Oryzias latipes: one gene and its partners. The protein of the gene in region 2 interacts with the protein of the main gene of each other region in a biochemical or structural test. Links are inferred from orthologs where the notes say so. Each region holds a gene or a part of one and is shown on either strand. Other genes may lie near its edges.

Region 1 (5,826 bases), on a different chromosome or scaffold from region 2:
ATTATAACAAAAATCCCACAACATAATTGTCTTAAAAAGCCACATTTCATGTTTGTCTTAAGCCTCCGTTTCCAAAATCTCCTCCACGTGGGCGTGGTCATTGGTGCTTAGCTGGTAGCCCCGCCCCTGACCCCTCCCCTTTCTGCAAGCTGTGTCTTCCATGAGTGAAGAGCTTGGCACAAGAGGGGGGGCACAAATGACAGACATAGAGGTGTTTCTCAGAAACGGTGAAGTGACATATTTTCTGTGTGTATCAGACCCTGCTGTATAATAAAATTACACACGAAAAATAACTTTTACTAGCCCATGAAAAATGCTTTGAATTACATTATAATTTAGGCTACATTGCACCAGCAACACTAGCTGTGGCTCAGAACTGTTTTAATATAGCACATGCAGATTGTTCAATTCACACCAAATACAATGAAATGCCTGAAAGAAAGTGACTATTCACACGTAATTTTCCAAATACGTGCAGCCAGTGCTGAAACTTTTTTCTTGGCCGCACGGACCCAGAGGAAGGGTTAAGTTTAGGAGCATGTCTTATGGATAGGGCAATGCTGTGTTCACACCGAACGCGAGTGGCGCGGCAGAGGCAGCCAGTTTTCAAAGTTAATTACATGGTAGAGACGCGTGCTGAGGTCCAGTGGTGTGATTTAAGCGACGGGTGTGGTGCAAAGGTCTGGCAGCAGCGCGATTTCAGCGGCGCTGTGCAATTTGATACCCGTCCGAACCAAATCACCAAACAGTACTACTGTCCTACACCTGGCTGTGGATCCTGCCTCTGGCTCGTCTCTGCTCTGCACCTGACCGTGTACCTCGTCTCTGCTCCTGCCCTGACACCTGGCTCTGGATCCTGTCTCCTGCTCGACTCTCGCCCCTTACTGTCCCCCCAACTCCGTCTGGATAAAGCTCGTCTGCTGGACTTTAAATATGTAGTTGTAGAGTTAGATAAGTTAATTCTTCTCTAAGAGTTCTGGTAAATCGCCTGTCCGTCCTGGGGGAGGATCCCTCCTTCATGGAGGCACCCCTGAGGTTTCTTCGTTTTTTCCGGAGTCCGTTTTTTTTAGGAGTTTTTCCTTACCGTGAAAGGGGTTTAAGGGCAGGGATGCCAGTATAGCTTAGTCAGTTTGTTAGTTCATTTTAGAATTTTCCTATTGAACTCTTTGTATTCATGATCCTTTTGAGTTCATGTTTCACTTTTTCAATTACCGATACTAAGCCCATCGAGACGACTGTTGTTGTGAATTTGGGCTATACAAATAAAATTGAATTGAATTGAACAGTACCTGTAACGGTTATGCTGGGCGAAGGTGTGTACACCCTGGACAGTCTGTCCCAGGAGGTGAGACGTCATGTCATTGACTAAAAGCGTTAGCAATGTCTATAAGATCAATACCAAATCCAGTATTAGTTCTAATTAGATCTGTCAGCTTTAATGGTAATTTGAATGTTTAAGCATTGTTTTCTAAAACCTTTTGGAAGTATGTGTGTGTATGTGTCTGTAAAGTTTTGTAAGGGACATGCTTATGTTGGTGGAGCAGGTTAGAGAAAAAAAGCCAAATTGTTTTCCCATTATTATGATAATTAAGGAAATACAAGTGATAAGTTTAAACAAAGTAAATATATATTGTTGATGCTGATGATGAATAAATTCTACAGTTTAGCTGAAAGTGTTATATAAAGTAAATTCAGATATTATTTAATTCCGTCAAGCATATTATTTTACAACACTGACATCTTTTCAGTAGATAAATTAAACTTGTATGTCAGACTGAATAAAAAGTGCTGTATGAAACACACAAACTGGGTTGCAAAATATGTTTACCTGAAGAGTCAGATCAAAACCACCAAAAAACAAAAATTAAGTATAAAAATAAAGGGCAAAAAAAAAATTCTACTGTAGACCAGAGGGACTATTTTACTGATGACTCCCCAAAACATTAGGATACAACAGAAGTAGTACTGCCTTATAAATTTACACAAACAATTAGAAACATACCTTTATTTTCATCTTCTGTTAAATCTCTTAATCCAGGGACGGATTTGGTGTCAGCCTCGTTTTCTTTACTGTCAGTAGCACTGAGAACTCGAGCCAGAGCCCGTGACAAAGGGGCAGTTTGGCTGGTTTTAGCAGACACATTTATTTCACTTTCCACTGCCACAGATAGACTTCTCTGGACCTGCAAAAGAAGTGATATCAGTTTAATTACACACACTTGAGTCCTCATTTTGGTCCCTAGTAATCCCTGCAACTAAATTTACATGAGGCAAAAAAATATGACTGTCAAACCGCTGAACGTGGATATTTCTTTGCTTCTAGTGATTTAGAAAAGCTGATTTACTGTGGTGACCCCTGAAGGGATATGCCAAAAGGTAAACTGCAAAAGCTACTCAAAAAAAGAGAAATTAGTAAAATTGAGAATTAAACACAGTGAATAGGAACTTACTTTATCCAATGCATTCACCAAACCCGGTTTGGGGGCCAAAGGCTTTGATTCAGTTTGAAGTAGTGAAGCTGGTGAAACAAATCGTGTTTTTTTCACTGCATTCCCCAAAAGCTGACTGGGTGCTCCTGAACGCCTCATTCCTTATAAAAGGTCAATGTGCCCCCTACAAACAGAAATAAACTACATTTTAGAAACACAATGGGGAAAACATAGGCAATTTTTCAATAGCTACACCTTTGAAATTCTTAAAGAAAAAAGAGGTATAGAAGAAAAAAAGTGATCTAAAACAGGCATGCTTTACCAAGAAAGACTAGTGATTTTTTTTAGTTTTTGCATTTAGAATACCTTAACCGACTAAAGATTTCTACGTTTTAGCAACTCAGGATCAGAAAATGTGTTTCTATTAACGCAATATAAATATAAACTCTTCAACAAACAGTTTTGAAACTTTTTTGTTGACTCTAGTGACAATTTATGTATTTTGTCCTTTATCAGGTTCCGTTTGTCGTTTTTGATTTTTACTTTTAGACTAGTTTGAAGTAAGTAAAGTCAGCGACAGGCTGTGTTTAACTGTTATCACGTGGTCAAGTCGAAAGTTTAAATCGGCCGTAATGATATTTTGTAACAATGCGTGATACATACCACCGACGAGAAAATGTTATTTTGGAGAATTACTTAAATATCGTCCAATTCAACTTGATAAGTTTCCCACAGTGTAAGCGGAAAAGGCAACTTCCGAAACATGTCTCCCGCTGAATTATTTGGGGGTTCTGATTGGTTAAAAGTCAACAAAAGGCGTGGTCAAATGAGAAAAAAGCATGTTTGATTTGAACACCTGGACAGCCAAATCCTTTCAGCATGCCTAAACCTCTTTTTTCAGACTTTATTGACAAATAACACAATAGAACAAAATAGTGAACGTCTCAGGGGTTACTGAATATGTACATTGCAGAAAGAAAACAAAACAAAAAAAAAAATTATGTATACGTACAAATACGTATACAGTGTATGAAATTAAAAAAAAAAAATCAAATCAGTTCGAATTGCCTTTTGGTTTTGCAGTTGTTTGATAATGTTACAGTACTGATTGATTTCATTCAAAAAATGCTGGAATTTAGGTTTGGAGTTGGACCATTTGGCTTAATTAATATGGAATTTTGCAAATGATGAAAACATCTATGTAATAAAGATACAATCTTTGTCTACATTGTCATTAAGATAACCCGGAATAATTTCTTTATCCAAAAATTGTACAGTTTCTTTTAGTTAAATTTTCTATATAATTTTCCACTTCCATCTACAACATATTTGTATGTATGCAGTCCACAAACAGGTGATAAATGGTTTCCTCTTTCAACAACAAATCAACAAATCTTCTTTTTTTGGCAGGATATATACAATGCGATATTTTGAAGGACACCTCTTTTATTTTGTTATTTAAACAACATTTTTTACTAACATTCCAAGCATTAGTCCAGTTTATGTCCACACATTTTGAGTAGCTCTCCTAAACGTATTTCAGATCTTTTCTGTGGTCCATGACAGCAGCAAATCGAGCATAGAGGTGTACATTTAACAAAATAATAATTTTAGTGAAAAGTAATGACTAAATCTGAACAAATATTAATTGAACCGTTTGTTGGTGGAATTAAAAGCAGCTTTTTTTTAGTGAATAGTCACTATTTTTAATATTTCCAACTCTATTTTGTTTAGAAAATCTGGAAAGTTTAACTTCATTTAGTTGTGAAGTCTTTGGTTTACTTCATACCATTTTAGAAAGGTCTTTTTACTACTTTCTTTTCGACTTTATTCCATTACACTCAAGGACAGGGGTAATAAGTATGGGCAGTGAAGGTGATCTTTTGATTCCTGTTGTCATGTGCTACGTGCTATCCGATGGTGTGTACTTTGCAATCCAATCAGGGACGAAAAGAGTGTAATCCACGATAATCCCACAGCTCTAGACAAACAGAGAAACCTCAGATAACTTTCGCCGTTAAGGGGAGCAGCTATTATCTCTAAGGGCTGTGTAACAACTGGGCTTTAGACAGTTCGTGAAACACTTGACTGCTTTTTTGTCTGTCCCTCTGCTCTTGTCCGACAGCTGCCTGCCTGGCTGTATCCTGCACCATTGTTGTCAGAGTTAGCTCTCCATAGAAACGCTCTCCCAGAGGAAGAGGAGGAGCAGGAGACCCTCTGCTTCAGGATGAAGGAGAGCCTCTACAGTGTGATCAAATAGATTGAGCAGGTGCAGGTGAAGTCTACAAGATACAGGAGGAGCTGGATGAAGTCAAATCCTCAGGTAAGAGAGATTAAAAGCAAATAAGTAGAAAAACAAGTAAACTGCACAGGAAATGTAACAACCTCTGTGCAACCTGTTTGATCCTCTATAGGATGGGTTATGATCTAGAGAGGTTTGTAGGCTACGTGAATGAAGGTCTGCTGTGCTGTGTGTGCCGAGATGTGCTTGAACGCCCCCTTCAGGCACCCTGTGAACATGCCTACTGCAGCTCCTGCATCAGCAGCTGGCTGCTTCATCACCACACCTGTCCAGAAGACAGACTGCCATTAGATGTGAGCAACCTCAAACCCCTGTACCGGTATGTCTCCATCCCTGCAACTACACTTCAGATATCTTTCTGAATCTCTATGCCTCTTTATTTTTGTTTCACTTGTCTGCTTTAGAGATGCAAGAAAGTGATGGGAAGAGCCTCTCAGTTTGAGTGTTTTGATTGCAGGTACATGCGCAATGACCTGAACCGCCTGCAGATCCGCTGTATGAATGCAGCACACGGATGTGAGGTGGTCTGCTCCCTGGAGAGCCTGCATGCACATGAGGACGAGTGTGTGTTTGCCTTCATATCCTGCTCTAACACCGGTATGCAAACTCCTCCCTGGAAAAACAAAAATGAATGCTGCTTTGTTTCTATTCACAATAGTTGTAAAAATGTTTATCTCTATTATCTATCTTTATATATATGTATGTTATCCTCTTATATGTGTGATACAAAGGTAATGTGACACCTCTTTCATTGGTGAACAACAGGTGGTGCATCTGTTGTCATGACTACCCCGTAAACAATTGCATATGCAGGGCTGTACTTAAAATCTCCAGAATGCTGTTTCAGGTTGAATCATTCTTAAATAAATTGGAGCTGATTCTAGTGTGATTCTGTCTTGATCATGTCACCATGGCCTGTCATGGGCAGGAACTGAGTGCATATGTTACCATTGTGGTAGGTATTTTGTCAAAGAGTGTGTGTGGCTTTTGCAGTGCTGAGATATGTCACCAACTATATATAGATATATATGAGCTTTTAATTCAGCATGAGAGTTGTGTGATTCTCTCAAATGTTTTTTTTTTACTGTACTTTTG
Region 2 (5,587 bases):
GACACCAGTGAAGATCACAAATCATTGAAGAAAAAGGTTCAGAGCACTGTCTAGTGGGTCTAGATGACCCAACTCCCAACGTTAAAGTACCTAGGATAGCACAAGGGTTACAGTTTCTATTTGAACCTAAAACTTTGTACGCTGTGCTGATAGTTTTTGTCTACAAATCAAACCCCCAAAATGTTGGTAAATAAATAAAAATAGATAATTCTGGATTTTGTTCATAAAAACCACCACATCTGAATCTGGATCATATTTGTAATCTAGAGGTGAGAATCTGCAGGGATCAGAGGTGGGCCCGTACCTCGTCTGCCAGTCGCAGCAGCATGCGCAGGAACCGGCCCAGGTGCCCCTGCCGGGCCGACAGCTCTCCTCGACCCGAGTAGTCGGTTCTGTACAGAGCAGTGGCGCTATCCACGATCAGCAGGGCATACCTGAGACACAAACGCACCATCTAAAGTAATCTAAAGCTGATGTTCTGATGCTTTTTTTACAATACAGATGAACTGACAACTTTTTTTTTAACAGCAGTTCCATTTGTCAACCTCCTTCGGTAGAATATTACATTTGGCTGCATGTGTGGGTTTTCTCTGCGGCTTCCTCACAAAGTCCACCAAATATGATGACCAGTGAGGCACCTGAAAAGTCCTCGCTGTCTGTGCACTAACAGAGCCACCAGCAGGGGGCAGTTCTGTCTGAGGTTTATCCTGATGGATCTCATCAGTTATCAACATTAAGAACATCTGACTCCTCCATCCACCTCCATGCTGATGACATAATCCTCTATTTCATTGCCGCCCCCTCCTGACATACTGTTTCCCTCAATAACATGTCAATAAACATATATATATATTTAAATGTATTGATTTTTTATCTCTCATTCTTCAAATGAACCTATTTGCTGCATTGTAAAAGAAGGATAAACATTCAACTAGAGGCAACCAGTTATGCTAGTTTGGCCAAAATCAGCATATTCATGATAAAAAGATTACTGGGAATGATTTGAAAATAGATTTTAAAAAAAGATGATCGGACTTTAAAGCTCAAACACTTGGGTATGTGACCTTTGACTGAATGTGTTCGGAAACCTGCAAACTGTCTGATCTCAGGAAGTGGACTGGAGGACAGCAGAAGGTGTGAAGGACTCACCTGGACTCTGCCATCATGGCTGAAGCTTGGTACAGCAGTTGGGTCTGATGGTCGGTGTTGAAGGCGCGGGCGTACGCCACGTTGTCCAGGACGTCACTGCCCACCAGACCGTACCTGAAGAGCCCAGAGTTTTAACATTTTCTCAAAGTAAGATGAGGAGTTTGACGCTCACGGTGGAAACTCGCCTCTCTGCCACAGCGAGGAGCCTCTCTGGTCTGAAGGTCCCCTCTGTGTCGATGTACATCGCTTTCCCTTCTCCTCCCCCTTGATCGATGGGCAGCTGCAAACAGAACAGAGGACTGAAAGCTTCACGTGATCAGACAGATGGAAGTTTGGCCATTCCGCGCTGATCTTACCTGACACGTGACAGCGAGGGTGTGGCACAGCTGCGTCTTCCCCGTGCGAAACTCCCCAAACATCTCTGTGATGGAGCCTGTCTCAATACCACCTGAACTCAGGAAGGAAAAGGTCAACATTCTTCAAATCCTCAGGGATGGTGAAGGAGCTCCAGCAAACTCACCCTGCAGGAGTTTGTCCAGCTCTTTGGATCCTGTGGAGATCTGGATGATCTCCGACCTTCTCTGGTGGAACTCTGTGGCTGTAGTGAAACCCATCGGTACTAGCTTGGCAGCTTCAGTCTGAGAGAGATAACAGAACCGTTAGGTAGGAGCAGCAGAATCCCTGAAGCCAGAAGCTGCTGTTCCTCACTAGGATCTTGTCGGCTTTGGCCTCGCTGATGCCTTTGATGTTGAGCAGCTCCTTCTTGGGAGCGTACGCCACGGCCTCAATGGTGTGGAAGCCTGCGTCCTCCAGTTTCTTGATGTCGCTGGAGCTGATTCCACACTGCTGCAAGCAGAAACCAAAATGTTTAAGACAACAAAGCTTCTGCAAAAGACACAATAGAACTATCAGGGTTCAAACCTCCAGTCTGCTAAGAGGCTGCGGCCCAAAGTTCTCCTCCTCCTCCACCGCCACTTCTGCCTCCACCCGAGCCTCGCTCCTCATGGCCATGACTCTTGAATGAAAAGCTGAATTCTCCTCAGGCAGGGTCCTCACTGCACAGAGTCAAAAAGGAGTGTCAGAGCAGCAAACACCACGATACAAAACAAAACAGGACAGAAAGTTTAAGGAGGTCTAATGCTTTCATTTAACTAAATCCTACTGATTTAATACTAGTTTTTCTTCAAAACATAAAAGACTTGAGGATATTTTCTTAAACTAAAATAGGAGCGTTTTAAACGACCCAAAACACCTAAGCACAGAATAAGAATATTAACAGTAACTTAAAACTTAAACACGTGAAACATGATTTCCCAGCATGCAATTATCCATCAATCCTCTTTAGAGGTTTTTAAGCAATATACTGAATACTAACGAATTTTTATTAGTCAAATAATTTTAAATATATACGTTTAAATTACTTTTCTTTCCTCTACATAATTCAGGGAATAAAGTGGCATTATCAAACCAATTTGCAGCCTGTTATGCAGCAGGGATTTGTAGTTCTTAGTTGTAGTTGATAAAATAAAATGTTAACTGCAGCGTCTCAGCAGGTGTTCAAAGCTTTTTTTAATCCGCATTTTATAATAAATGATTAGAAGAGACAAATGTTTTCTAAAGTTAACATTGCCTGTTGAAGTTACACCCCGTTGTTCAAATTCAAAAACTTTATTGATAAGTTGACGTAACACTTATGGGGAAACCAGTGTTTAACCAAACGACTACAAACTGACTCCTATAAATCAAAGTTTTCCAATAACAACAGCAGCTGTTCATATTTTCAAAAGGCTTATTTGTATCTTTCAAAGCATTTTTTGGCTAAATTGAAGTCGCCCGCTAACTTAGCTTTAGCGCTAATTTGCGTAATTTCGTACAAAAAGTTTGATCTTCCGTAAAGCTGCTCTGGGTTTAAGAGCAAAGAGCCAAGTGTCATGGTTCGAACCCCCTAGAAGCAGTGACATTTTTCTACTAAAGACCACGGTTTCGATGAAATACCTGCTGCTTTGTTCTGTTTGCTGATCCTACAAACAAAACTCCCGCGCACGAGATTCCTGTCGAACGCGATGACGTCACATGTGTTCCCATGCCTTGACAAAACAGGAAACCGGAAAAGGAACATTTTTTTTATCAAGTAAAAAATAAAGAACTAAACATTTTCGGTTTTAGCTTCGTAAATGGATATTAGTTTGAAATTGTTTTCCACAAAAACATAAAATATGTATACTTAAATCTTAAAAAAAGAGGCTTGCTCATAATGTGAAAAGCTACAAAGAACAGGGATCCGTTAAAAATCCAAAATTTCTCATTAGGAAGATCTGTTTAAACGCATTTTCCCCTCAATTTCATGTTTATAAGTAATGTCTTTACCAAATAAAATGTCTGTCAGACACGTTTTTGTGATTATTTTAACAAAAAAAGTCTTCAAAAGTGGTATTTAGATTCATTTATTCATCCGTGACTAATAAGGTTTTCAGTAAACATTGAAATAAACCTTTATTTTGATAGAGCAAAGATTTCACTGAATTGTAAAAGCACTTTCAGGCATCATTGGCATCTTGTTTAAATTTGAAGCCTTTATTTTACTTTCAATAGGAAAATAAAATCCCCACCATAAAAGGATTTAAACATGACCTCCGCATGCTTAAATATGCGTTTGATTTTAAACTAGTTCCTCAAAAACAAACATCCAAGTCATGGGCCAATAAATGCAAATTCAAATTTAAAACAGCTGTGACCTACTAATTTGACATTTTTCGTACATAACTGCAACAAAATTCAAGTGAATTTTTTTTTTCCAACCAAGCGTAACCTTAAAACAATAAAAGAATAAACCTCACATTTCATTTTCCATTTATTACAATTATAACAAAATTGCACATGAAGTGTTTTCAACTCAGAGGAGAATCACTCTTATACTGAAATACAAAAAAGTCAGACTAAAACACAGGATTTATTTTTTGGCTTTAAAAGAAAAGTGAAATATTCATTTTTAAAAGGATTCTTTTAATGTTCATTGGGTTTTGCAGAAATCTTCTTTTTTGGGAGACTGTGGCCACCACGGGTCTGTCCCACTGGCTCCAGCTGCAGCATCTGAAAAATAAAAGATTTAAAAACATTTTTTCTGTGCTTTAATCATCAACATGACAGAATCCTTTACCCTGGATTTAAAGAAAAAGACTGGGGTTAGAACAAATGCACACAGATAAATATATATTTAAAAAGTAAATAAGAAGAAAAAACCTGAATTTGTTAACAGAATTTACTGTCTTTACTAAAATGAATCTGCTCAGCTTTATGTTTTTTCAGACTTCAGAACAGATCAAAGGTTAGTTTGCATCTTCAGAAAACTTTTCAGTAACCGTTAAAAACATTAGTAAGCAGGAAAATTCCAGAAGTAGCTTTTGAATCAACAACTTCACGGTGACTCAAGAAACCTCTGGATCTTTTCACAAATTAAGAGCCTGCTTTTAAAGAAAGGAGAGAGTCAAGGGTCCTCCCAGAATTAAACAGCTGTCCACAGATATGCCTGCCTATTAATCTGCTGAAACGCCTTCCTCTGGAATGGAAAGACTCCCATTTCCACGGAGCACCTTCACAATAAAACCAGCACACTGTGGAAATAAAGAACTGCACTTTGGTTTCAGCTTTTTTCCAGCAACTCCACTTCTCAGATAAGAGAAAAATATTTTTTGAACATGTTTTGTCTTTCTTTGATAATAAAAATTGTAAACTGCTTTGATTTCAGGATCAGTCGCTTTATAGTTTAAGCTGACACAAAGTGCAGAAGATTAATGCTTCCAAACTGTTCAGATCTGAGCTCAGTGCAAACAGTTCAAGTCTTTTGAAAGACCAGTGACCTCCCATCAGCCCCTGCTTCCATCAGTAGACACCCAGTGAGCGTTCACACTGCCAAACAGGACAAAAATTACCGATTTCGCTGTAGGCCGAGTCAGGAACGAGTGAAACCTCTGTTAAACAAACGCAAACATCACAGACAAGAAAACAGCCTTTCACAATAAGAGCAGCGCTGCTGCAGGATTCCAACGGCAGCGTGTGAGGAGGACGTCAGGACGAAGTACCTGGAGTGGTTCCCAGGGCAGAGTTGTCAAAGAACTGCTTGGGACGGTTTCTGGAGAGCACCTCGGAGGCCCCGCCCGCGTCAAAGAACCTGCTCTTGGGCGATCTGAAGAGCGAGGACTTGGGCGAGTCCAGAGGTTTGCTGGGAGACTCGGGACCCTTCAGAGGCGAGGCCAGCATCTTGTTGGAAGTCAGCAGGATCTTCTTGGGCGAGCACAAGAGGGTGTTGAAATCTGCAGTCATGGGGGGAGGCCTCTTGCTGGTGGTGCTAGGCAACGGGGGCTCGTCCATCTCAGTTTTGTTCTTCAGTTTGATGGCTCTGTTCTTCCACTTGGCGACCTCTGCCTGCTGACTGGACACC
Region 3 (5,628 bases), on a different chromosome or scaffold from region 2:
TTGTCACAGAGAAGAAGCTGTTGATGGACTTCTGTTTGTCACAGGGACTTCCAGATGCTGCTGCAGCTGCAAAAAAGAATAAAAATAAAAACTGTTTTCAAATCAGTCTGCATGAAATGAGATGTTGTGGGGGAAATTCATCCCTTGGTGTTACACTCCAGGCCTCGAGGGCCGGCTTCCTGCAGGTTTGCTAAAACCTTGCCTTATCTGCTGCTTACCTTACTGACCGTGCACAAATGCTGCACACGCACGTGATACCCAAGTCCCCGGACAACGCCACACAAACTAAACTCTGATTGTTTCATTTCCTAGTTTTTAAAAGTCAGGCTACAATCAACGATCACACATATATCAGAAAAAAAGGAAAATTCTGTACGGGACGCCTGCATGTCCCCCACGTCACCCTACCAGATGTTTCACCCGCATCGTGCCTGTAGAAAAAGTTTACAACCTTGAGTTTTGGGTGGCCCACCTGGTTACTCAATACAGATCTGCCCATTTTTCACCCGCAGACAGCCAGTACCCGCCCATAAGGGAGGAAGGCTGTAAACAATTTGCTGCTGTTGTTGATTTTTTATTCAGTTTAGCCTAAAAAGTGGTGCATCTCCAAATTCTCAAAGAAAACTTGTTTTTTTTTTCTGCACAGAGAAAAGAACAGATCTGAGGATTCACAGAGTTCTTCTCAATTTTCCCTATTAGATACAGAAACAAGGCAACAGTGGATAAAGGCGTGACATCACTGAGTTTAACCACAACTATGACAAAAACAATGAAAACAGTTCCAAAGGAGAGTCTAGCTCCAACAACAAGCTTTTGTACTGCAGTGAAAAACTCAGACATGAAATTTTTTAGGTTATTTTCGGGATTTTTTTTTATCTCATTTTGTGTCTCATCGTTGAGGTATGATGAAAATTATTTTTTAAGCAGGAGAATTTGCACAATTGGTGGCTGACTAAATGCTTTTTGGCCCCACTGTATATATGTAATAAATAGTAGTAGTTCAAAACATGCACACACACGGGTTTACATATATTCCATACATATATGAATTCAATATATTCCTACATATAAAAAATACTTGAGATATGTATATGTGAAAAACAAAGAGCACTATGGTTTGTGCATTGTATCTTCATAAAACAACAGTATACAAATAAACCAGTTCAGTGGCCTTGGGGTAGAGTGTCCGCCCTGTAACCGGAAGGGTTTGAACCCAGGCCGAGTCATTCAGAAGACTTTAAAAAGGGCCCAAATGCCTCCCTCCCTCAGCATCAAGGGTTTGGATTGGGGGGTTAAAACCACCAAATGGTTCCCACGCGGGGCTCGTCTGCAGCTCCCCCTCCCCCAGGGGAGGGGTCAAATGCAGAGAACAAATTTCCCATTGTGGGATAAAATAGTCAACTTTTTTATTTTTTAAAGAGTAGGACAAGCAAGGCATCCCAGAATTTATAAACCCATATATGGAGGCGTGTTTACCAATGCCTTCATAGATCTCTTCAGAATAAATAGATAAATCTATTCTACCAACATCCTTCGTGTCTGCCATGATGTCAGGATGAAGAAAAACTCATGACAGTAGCTCCTCCCACCTGCAGCAGAGGTGTCAAGCTAAGGAACTGTCGACAAGCAGCAAATTTGGCATTTGTCACCTTTGTTGAACCACTAATGTTACGTTGGAGGTATGAGGGGCTCTAAGCTACCAGGAGAGAGTGTAAACAAATGGATGATGGGAAATGAAGGGAGGCTCACTCCATGCACGACCTGAAGTTGGCTTCCGATTCACAGCTTCCGATTCGCGAAGCACTAAAGGAACATTCCACTGCATATTTTATTGTGTCAGGAAAGCCACAATAACATAAACCTATCAAAGTAAATGTGACAAAACCAGCTTTTATGATAACCTCTCTCTTTTTGGACCCTGGTATTGTAATGGTTATCTCTTCCCATTTCAGGTTCACCCATCTCTTTCTCTGTTGTTCATATATCTTCACTCCTCCCTTGATCGTATCTCTCCCTTCCTCATTTTCAGAAATCAAATAAAGGTTTCAACTTCCTGCTTGGAAGGTTTCACAAATCAGAAACTGTGTTTAATGTATTCTTTTGTATCTAAATCATAATTTAATCCAGGTTTGATCAGTCCAGGTCGTGTGGTTTTTGAACAGGACCTGATCTAAGGTGCACTCACTGCATAAAAATGATCCTATTTCACATTTTCACTGATCAGAGAAAGGTTTCACAAATCAGAAACAGTGTTTAATGTAATCTTTAGTTTCTGTTGCATAATTTATTCCAGGACTGAGCAGTCCAGCTCCTGCGGTTTTTCAACAGGACCTGGTTCTAGGTGATCTTAGTGGGAAAAATGCAGTGGAATCTTCCTTGAGTGCCCTCACGAATCGGAAGCCAACTTCAGGTCGTCTCCAATGCCACAACTTAGAGCCAAATTTCTGATGAACCCCTGTTGCTCTGCAGAAACTATGTCCTAGAAAATGACAGTTTTTTTTATTTTGGCTACAATCTGCATAATTAACGGCAAAGACCACTGGGAACGTTTTGAAAATACATTAAAAGATGGTCTGTGGCATTTCTTTTTCTTGAAGTTTTACTTTGCTTTTTGTATTTGTATCCATGTCTCCTTATGTTTTACAGATCCCACTTTTCCCTTCTCTCTTAAATAATCACGCTTGGACCAAATCGAGAATGAATCGAAGCCGATTTCCGTCGTAGATTACCAGGTTTCCTTCTCTTTGCTGGTGACCTGGGATGAAGCCCCCGGTTTGGGTTGCGGTACCCCAGCCCATGGTTTGATGTGTGGGGCTGAGTCAGAACATCTGTCCCGTTCGCACTTCGTCCCAGTTGGGCGCAGTCCCGAGCATTCAGATGCTTTCTTTTGGCTCTGCCTGGAGACACAGAAGCGCCATGATGTTTACTTTACAGACCATCACAAACGTGAGAGTGAGCGTTTCTAACGATTAACACAAACTAGCTGCAATTATGTTTCTGAAATGATATCAAGAATCATAAACACAACGTAGCACTCCGTTGAAGAAAACATAACTCAGTAAAGAAAACTATTTCAGACACTTAAGTTTAAGTTTAACCTCGAGTAAATTAGCATTTCAGCGTCTTTGTTTACCTCAACGTTGAACTCACCTTTGGCGGACACCTCCATCTCTGTACTCGTCCGTTCCTTAGTAACAAAGTCACACCATGTTTGCTAGCATAAAAACATGATTAAAAAATTAAAAACTCATTCGTATCGTACATGTCATGTAGGTTTTAAAACGATAAGCATTACGCTAGCTTCCAGAGTTTTGCTAGCTTGTATCGTTCTATCTACTTTCACGACTTTTTTTAAGAACAACGAAAATGAACAAACAAAACAAGCAAAAACATCTGTAAACACAAATAAAAGTAGCAGCCAGGACTGAAAAGTAGATTTAATTGAGAGTCGGAAACCGCAACCGAGTAAATCCAAACAAGTTGGCTTTCGAGCAGTGATTGGTCCGCTTCTTCTTCGTTGGTTTTACCGAAGTTGGAAAGCAAATATTTTGCTCTTTACTGCCACCTAGTGTGATCGGTGGAGAAGGGAATATATATTTATCTAAAGCAGTGGCGGCTACTGGTCTGTCAGAGAGGGGACGCTCATTTTCGCCCTACATCATAAAATTGTCTATTTATTTAAAAGTAAAAAAATCAAGCAATTTCGCCAAGCAAATATAAAAGAAATAGGTTGCAGCAATTTTTATTTCGACTGAACATGAGAAATCCGCGATGGGACTGAGCCCGAATACCTTCAGTGATTCCTTATAGTACAGAATCGTTGTCAGTCAAAGGAGATGGAGTCTTTCGACAGACCCTCCAATCATCAGGCAGAAGCTCTGAGTCCGGGCCAGCCCATCCGCCATTGACCCCCAGAGACGCTGAGCGTCCGTGGGCGGGACTTAATCGCAGCGTTTATCCAATGGCCGTCTAGTTTCGAAGCGCTGGAAAAAAAAAAAAGTTCAAAGCAGCCCCATTGAAGTCAATGGACGCTGGGCTTCAATAGGGAAATGCACTGTGATGCTGCGGGAATGTATGAGAAGGAAATGGAGTCAGCCGACCTGCTATATGTAACTGTTTCTGAACGAACTCGTCTTTGAGATGAACGTTTCTAACACATTTTTAGTCAATAAAATGTTAATACAATAGTACATATTTAACCATTGATTTTGTGACATTATATTATATATAAGGGAAGCCGAGCTTTCCTTGCAGTCTTAAAAAAATCGCCACTGATCTAAAGTTCTAGTGGGATTATCTTTTCAATGGTTCACAGTAGCGCTGCACGATATGAGGAAAACTTGCGATATGCGATATTAGAGATTAATATTGCGATATAAAAAATAGAAAAATGCCAAAAACATCATTCCCATTTCATTAGAAACAGTTTAAAATTATACTCCAAATGACCCTCATCCACATAGGTGACAAACATCTAACATAATAGGCCTCCATCTGATTGGTAAACAATGGGAAGGCGTCCATCTGATTGGTCAAAGCATAAAGGGATTTATTTGATTCGTTAAAAGCATCAAGCTGCCATAAGATTGTTTTAACACATTTTGGGTTTACGATTAATTTTGATATTAGTCTTTTGCGATATGCCTATTGCAGAGCTGGATATTGCGATAACGATAAATTTGCGGTATATTGTGCAGGCCTAGTTAACAGTGGTATTTTAATAATGACGATGTCAAAATAACAAAACTTGTCATTTTCTAGACATAGGTCCTGAAGTTTCTAGAAGTAAACCATTTTCTATGGGTGAAGTCGTCACATTTAATCGCTCCATTTCTTAAACAGGTAATAGTCCATTCAGGATTTCAGCTGTCTTCCTCTCATGCAAACTTTATATCTAACAATGCATGTAATATAATATAATATAATATAATATAATATAATATAATATAATATAATATAATATAATATAATATAATATAATATAATATAATATAATATAATATAATATAATATAATATAATATAATATAATATACACACACACATATATAAAATAAAATAAAAAAGCAACAAAAAAAACGCCCCTCTCACCCTCCGCGGGTGGTTTCTCCTCCAAGCTCGGGTCCTCTACCAGAGGCCTGGGAGCTTGAGGCTCCTGCAGTATCTTAGCTGTTCCTAGCACTGCACTTTTCTGGACTGAGAGGTCTGAGGTCTTTCCAGGTATCTGTTGTAGCCACTCCTCCAGCTTGGGTGTTACTGCCCCGAGTGCTCCAATTACCACAGGCACCACTGTCACCTTCACTTTCCAGGCTTTCTCCAGTTCTTCTCTGAGTCCCTGGTATTTCACCAGTTTCTCGTCTTCCTTCTTCCTGATGTTCCCATCGCTTGGCACTGCCACATCCACCACAACGGCTTTCCTCTGTTCTTTATCCACCACTACAATGTCTGGTTGGTTCTCCATTACCATCCTATCAGTCTGGATCTGGAAGTCCCACAGGATCTTTGCCCTCTCATTCTCTACCACCTTCGGAGGTGTTGACTCTGGGGTTTCCAGTCCATATTCTGCACACATGTTGCTGTATATCACATGTGTCAAACTCAAGGCCCGGGGGCCAAATGCGGCCCGCCA
Region 4 (5,497 bases), on a different chromosome or scaffold from region 2:
GTCTGCGTTTCTTCATGTGCTGCCCGTTTCTGTGTGGACTGTATTCACCTGATTTAAGAAAGAAAAGTGAGTGAGGAACCTTCTTACTGAGTAATGGAGACTGTTACACCTCACCTGGTCTTCCCTGATGATGCTGGGGTCTGTACAGAGCCTGGTTGTGTGCCATGTTGTCCACCAAAGATCCGGAAGGTCTGCCTGGAGCTCTCTGAGGCGTCTTACTGCGAGTCTGCATCTGGTGATTACTGGGAGTGCTGGGCGTGAGACCTTTGGGAGACGAGCCGCACGCTGGAATGTTCTGCTCATCAATCCCATCCAGAGTGAAATCCCAGAGCTCGGGATCGTCTTCAGAGAGGAACAAAAACAAAAGGCGTAAGAAGCACAAGTCGCCATGCGGTCCTCCTGTGGGGATTTATTCTGCTTCACAGAACCTGCTAAACATGGGTCCTTGCTGCTGGGATGGTTTTCAGTAGAGATGCTCTCGCTGGACCTCAACTCTCCGCTGTGACCTGCAGAACAGAAACAACGGAGTGAAAAAGCTCCCTATGAGACATCTGAATAACAGAACAGCTTCATTTAAATGCATTTCTGACATAAGTTAACTTTATGGATAAGCCAAGTCATTGAGCTGCACAACCATCTTCTCAGTTTGTGTTTTAAATAAAAATCTTAAAGACCTACTCAGATAAAAATGTTGTGTTTAACGACTTCTTGTGGCATTTTTCTCATAATTATGCTTAAATTAGCATTTCTGAGTATTTCTTTAACCCTTCTGCTATCCTATGACCCCACCCTTACATTGACGTGTTATTCCTAGCATGACAAAGGTGGAAAAAGGTGGAAAGATTTCATGTAGTCCATGGACACCAGTGAAGATCACAAATCATTGAAGAAAAAAGGTTCAGAGCACTGTCTAGTGGGTCTAGATGACCCAACTCCCAATGGTAAAGTGCCTAGGATAGCACAAGGGTTAAACAAATTGTGGTAAATCTGTAACAGATGAGGAAATGCCGTTGGAAAGAGCTTGTACAGCCACAAGCTCTGCTTCATTCTAATGCAGGGGTGGGCACTGAGGGCCGCATTCCTGCATGTTTTCCAGCATACCCTGCTCTGGCATGTTCTGATTGGCTGGACACACCTGAACCAGGTAATCAGCCATGAGTAGAGCAAGACTATCTAGAAATCATGCAGACACACCAGCCCTCGAGGCCTGGAATTGCCCACCCCTGTTCTAATGCATCCACTTGTAGACGACTAGATGTCCGAGCGGGCACCTGGCACAAATGTACGGCTTGATAGATAATGAGCATGAAAACAGGTGGATGATGGGAAAGGGGCCGGGGTTACCCCATGCCAACAGTCCATCCACAACTCAGTGAACTACTGCTGATCTGTCTCATTAAAAATGACATGTTTTTTTTTTCTAAGGCTAAAAACAGCATAATCAAAATCACTGGGAACACTTTGATATAGATCAAGAGATAATCGGAGTGGGAATTTTTCTACTGTAATTGAATGGAATAGAAATTTCAGGTTGCCTCCATACTTGTTCCTCTCCAAACCTTTACCTCCAGAGGATCGCCGTTCACCAGGTGCCGGAGACTCCTCTGTCTTGACTTGATCCAGGTTCTGCTGGAGCTTCTTGGCCTCCATCTCCTTCTTGAACTTCTGCTGAAGTTCCTGCTGTCTGAGTTTTCGTAAGTGTTTAGGGTCTGTGTGCACCTCTGACCCAAAAGATCTTCAAAGAAGGACAGTGAGAGAAGGTGATGTGAATTTGTATGGGAAGCTAGGGTCTCAAAGCAGCTTTTACTTTTTACCTGGAGCTGACATCCTCACTCTTTACGTTGGGAACAGAGCTGGCAGCACTCGGTGTGTGAAGTTCAGACTGATTCTGGTTCAATACTCTGGGTTCTAGTGGCATCCTGGAAGAACCCGCTGCACATAGTAGTTTCTCCTCTCGGCCAAGACTGCTGAACCGGGCCTTCTCGATTGACGGTTCGCCTTCAGAACGCTTAGTCTTTGCTGGGTCCAAAGGTGCTGGAGGCTTTGTACAGAAAATGAAAATCTTAGAACCATAAATGGAAGACAATAATCCAGACTAAAGGAGAATTTACTTCATATGTTGAGTCTGACCTGTCTGGGGATCTTATTAATGGCAAGAAGATATTCTTTATCGAGGATGCAGTTTCCGAGGGCATTACCAAAACATCTGAACAAAAAAAAAGCAGATATTTATGTCAAATAGTGGATTAATCTAATTGATTTATGAAGTAATAAATACTGCTGTGTGAATTATTGACTTCAGTGCTCTCTTCATGCCGTCAGTGACCGCCTCTTTCCTGGCTTTTTCCAGAGACAGAGCTTTAGATTTCAGGCCCTCACTAACTCCATATCCCACGTCCTCATGAAACGACCCATCCTAGAGGCAGGAGATTTGTTAGACAGTACTTTAAATCATTCACTGTGGGATTATAGGTGCAGATTCAAACAAATGACAACGCCAAACCTTCAGCTGCACTTTGACAAAGGCGCTGACTCCCACGTAAAACCTCCCATTGACAAGGTCTACAAAGTCTGGAAGCAAAACCTCTGACTGTTAATCTGCTTTGCGGAATTGAACTGAACGCTTTGGAGTTGAGCTTCTCGTACCGACATTCTGCTGGGAAATGGAGTGAGACCATCCATTGTACCCAAACATCTCGTTGGCCAGGCCAATGACACGGTGTCCTTCAATGTAACACACCTGGTGAAAAAAAACCAAAAACAATTAGGAATAAGTGTTTAGATAGAGAATAATTTGGGCAAAAAATGAACATATGTTTGCTATAATTGCCTTCTGGCCTCCTCCTGCCATTCTGGTACTGATGTACTCTGGTCCCAGTTTCTGTCGCAAGGCATTGTGGACAGCCTGGTACTCCTCTGCTGTGTAGGTGCACTGGGTGGGTGCAGAACAGTATAACACGCCACAGAAGAAAAGGTAAACAAACAAGTTACACGTTATTTATTACAGCCTTGAGGATTTTATTTTGCACTTAATGAATCTATATAAACACATTAAAGGAGATGGTGGTTCCACTTATCTTGCATGCATCCTTACAGTGATGGGGATGATGTGAGAATAGGAGCATCCAATTTTCTAGCTAAGTGAGTGGAGCATGCGCACATCTACTCAATCGTATCATGGCGTTGTAGTTGTACGTTTGTAAATCGACTAACCTGTCCGAACTTTGTGGGTGCAGGGAAGCCCCTTTCCTCAGCCGACATTATGGCTAGCCTGAAACACAAACTTGCATGCAGCTAGTACTTCAAATGTCATCTCAATTCACCCAATCATGCAAAAAGTGACGCAGAAAGCTAGCCAAAAAACACAAGGAGATCAAGCTAGCTTTAGCACGCTCGCTAATATTCCATTATTAGGAGATAAAATTCTACAATAAATGCTCTTAGACACAACTCACCTTATTTAAAATGTGTTTTCCGTGTTAAAAACGAACCTGAATAGTTAGCATTTACACTACGAGGATTTGAACCTCCCGCTTAGAGAACCGGAAGAGGATGAAATGATGCCATCAGGGTAAACGGAAATTCAACTATTGGCATCAGTTTAACATGTATTCTTCAAAGTGATCTTTAGTCACTTCAACTGATATAAGCACACATGGAACGCATTCAATATTACTTATGTTTAAACTACCCATGTTAGATAGTGAAAAGAATGCATTTAACTTCATCGCAACTATCTGTTTTCAGTCTTTTTTTGGGTAGATACTTGCATTAACGAGATATACCTGAAATAGCCTAAAACGTAACAACATTACAGTCTATTATTAGTATTTTTTACATATGATTTTTAAAAAGTGAAGCAAAAATTGCTCACAAACTGTTCTAATCTTAAACCATAGTAAATGTTTAACCTTTTGTACTTTTTGTGCCTTTTGTACTTATAAGGTTTGTGAAAACAAACAAACATAAAAACAAAAAAACAGCCCACCCCACCACCCCCCGATGATGATGATGATAATAATAATAATAATAGTAGTAATAATAATAGTAATAATAATAGTAATAACATACATTTTGATTCGTTTTATTTGTCTAATTTCATTTCGGAAATCTTCCTAAGATCTCCAACAGACCATCAGAAAAACAGAATGCTGATATTGAAGTCTACATTATTTACGGGAAAAACCGTCATCTCCCTTTCTATTTTTTTTCCTTGAAAAATCTTTCGGATTTTTGTTCCTATTTTTTTTATTTCGGTATCATATTTGTTTTGATTTTCTCGTTTGGCCTTTTTTCATCTTTGGAGATAAATGACTAAACTTACACAAATTGTATAAACATTTTACGATTTTATGCCCTTTTTTCTTGTTTTTTGTGGGTTTTGGTGTTTTTTCATCATTTTGCAGAATTGTTCCTGCTTTGATATTTTTTCTTTTGTCCTACATTTATACATCTTTTTTTTTAATCAGGTCATATTCTAGTTTATGTCTCAATTTGCCGTTTAAACACGTTTATTTGTTTTTCGTTCAGTTAAAATACAAACATCTTGCGCCAATTTTCGCATCTGGTCAATGAGTTTATACTAAATTATCTGATGGTTTAATATTTATGCCGTTTTGGGGGAAACTATAGTGTAATCCCGGGCAACGTGGCGCATTTTACGCATTTTTGCGCTCAGGTCATCAGTGAGACTCGCTTTCCTCGTCACACACGCTCCGTGTGATGCGATGCCTTAAAAAGTTGTGTTTGTTCCTCTTCCAAACATTTTATAATTTCCCTTTCATGCACGCAGCTGTAACCACAAAGCGCGTCCACGCGTCCAGATTATCTTTTGCATCACGTCAAAACAAAGCGGGGACGAGCCAAAGCCAGAGAACGAGGGAGGAGCGACGGAGCGAGCTGCCACTCCACCACCAGCCTCCTGAATGAGCCTGCGGCGTCCCAGGTAGGATCCTTCTTCCACCCGCGACCCGATGCCTGCAAGGCTGCTCCGACCACGTGGGATCTGTGGTGGATGAGCTAATGAGCCAACAACAGGCGCTTTCCTCTCCGCTCTTCAGGATCGTTTCATGTTACAGGGAGCAGCACCGGGATCAGGAACGGTGAGTTCGGGTTCTGTGGGCGGGCAGAGGCGCAGGACACACCGCAACTTGGCGACACACTTTCCTATCCATACAAGCCCCCCCTCCCTGGCCCTCTGCGCCAGCTTCTCCGGGTGCCTTCAGACGACGAGCGGCTTTGTTTACACTGCGCTCCATTCCGGCCGCACAGATCAATGGAGCAGCTCCACGTATACGCACGACTGCTCGCGCATTCTCCCCCGCGCGATCAACGTGGACTGTTTGAAGTCTTGTTTGCTTTTATTGACAGGTCACGTAGCTTCAACCAGAAAAAGGCGATTCCATATGTGCAGGCCAGAAAAGGAGCAATTACGAGAAATGGCATCTGACTGTAACCGACACACAGGAGGAGGAGGGGTGGGGGTACAAAAGCAGAA

Evidence for each region.
Region 1: the proteins of rad51 (region 2) and rad54b form a complex in vitro, tested with the Homo sapiens proteins (2 studies listed by BioGRID). The link is inferred for Oryzias latipes from reciprocal best matches to the Homo sapiens genes RAD51 and RAD54B.
Region 3: the proteins of rad51 (region 2) and fbh1 form a complex in vitro, tested with the Homo sapiens proteins (2 studies listed by BioGRID, with this or other methods). The link is inferred for Oryzias latipes from reciprocal best matches to the Homo sapiens genes RAD51 and FBH1.
Region 4: the proteins of rad51 (region 2) and rad52 form a complex in vitro, tested with the Homo sapiens proteins (6 studies listed by BioGRID). The link is inferred for Oryzias latipes from reciprocal best matches to the Homo sapiens genes RAD51 and RAD52.

Annotation. Positions count from the first base shown.
Region 1 is NC_019874.2:17,753,693-17,759,518, forward strand, and holds the start of rad54b (DNA repair and recombination protein RAD54B), read right to left. Parts: upstream 3,336-5,826; 5' UTR 3,093-3,335; intron 2,614-3,092; 5' UTR 2,589-2,613; coding exon 2,451-2,588; intron 2,184-2,450; coding exon 2,003-2,183; intron 925-2,002; exon of another isoform or gene 1-924. Other genes in the region: RING finger protein 151-like, read left to right, coding at 4,735-4,752, 4,935-5,050, 5,189-5,328. UniProt on the Homo sapiens protein: Involved in DNA repair and mitotic recombination. May play an active role in recombination processes in concert with other members of the RAD52 epistasis group.
Region 2 is NC_019882.2:19,721,852-19,727,438, reverse strand, and holds the start of rad51 (DNA repair protein RAD51 homolog 1), read right to left. Parts: upstream 3,216-5,587; 5' UTR 3,145-3,215; intron 3,109-3,144; exon of another isoform or gene 3,024-3,108; intron 2,205-3,023; 5' UTR 2,161-2,204; coding exon 2,071-2,160; intron 1,996-2,070; coding exon 1,858-1,995; intron 1,788-1,857; coding exon 1,670-1,787; intron 1,598-1,669; coding exon 1,506-1,597; intron 1,430-1,505; coding exon 1,335-1,429; intron 1,264-1,334; coding exon 1,150-1,263; intron 435-1,149; coding exon 305-434; intron 1-304. Other genes in the region: centromere-associated protein E, read right to left, coding at 4,160-4,239, 5,079-5,117, 5,229-5,587.
Region 3 is NC_019881.2:3,015,299-3,020,926, reverse strand, and holds the start of fbh1 (F-box DNA helicase 1), read right to left. Parts: upstream 3,514-5,628; 5' UTR 3,170-3,513; coding exon 3,151-3,169; intron 2,898-3,150; coding exon 2,730-2,897; intron 67-2,729; coding exon 1-66. UniProt on the Homo sapiens protein: 3'-5' DNA helicase and substrate-recognition component of the SCF(FBH1) E3 ubiquitin ligase complex that plays a key role in response to stalled/damaged replication forks.
Region 4 is NC_019864.2:21,083,094-21,088,590, forward strand, and holds the start of rad52 (DNA repair protein RAD52 homolog), read right to left. Parts: upstream 3,822-5,497; 5' UTR 3,456-3,821; intron 3,443-3,455; exon of another isoform or gene 3,284-3,442; 5' UTR 3,262-3,283; coding exon 3,214-3,261; intron 2,933-3,213; coding exon 2,831-2,932; intron 2,741-2,830; coding exon 2,647-2,740; intron 2,572-2,646; coding exon 2,504-2,571; intron 2,417-2,503; coding exon 2,298-2,416; intron 2,207-2,297; coding exon 2,131-2,206; intron 2,042-2,130; coding exon 1,815-2,041; intron 1,736-1,814; coding exon 1,566-1,735; intron 507-1,565; coding exon 429-506; intron 343-428; coding exon 115-342; intron 49-114; coding exon 1-48. Other genes in the region: proline-rich protein 5, read left to right, coding at 5,070-5,102. UniProt on the Homo sapiens protein: Involved in double-stranded break repair. Plays a central role in genetic recombination and DNA repair by promoting the annealing of complementary single-stranded DNA and by stimulation of the RAD51 recombinase.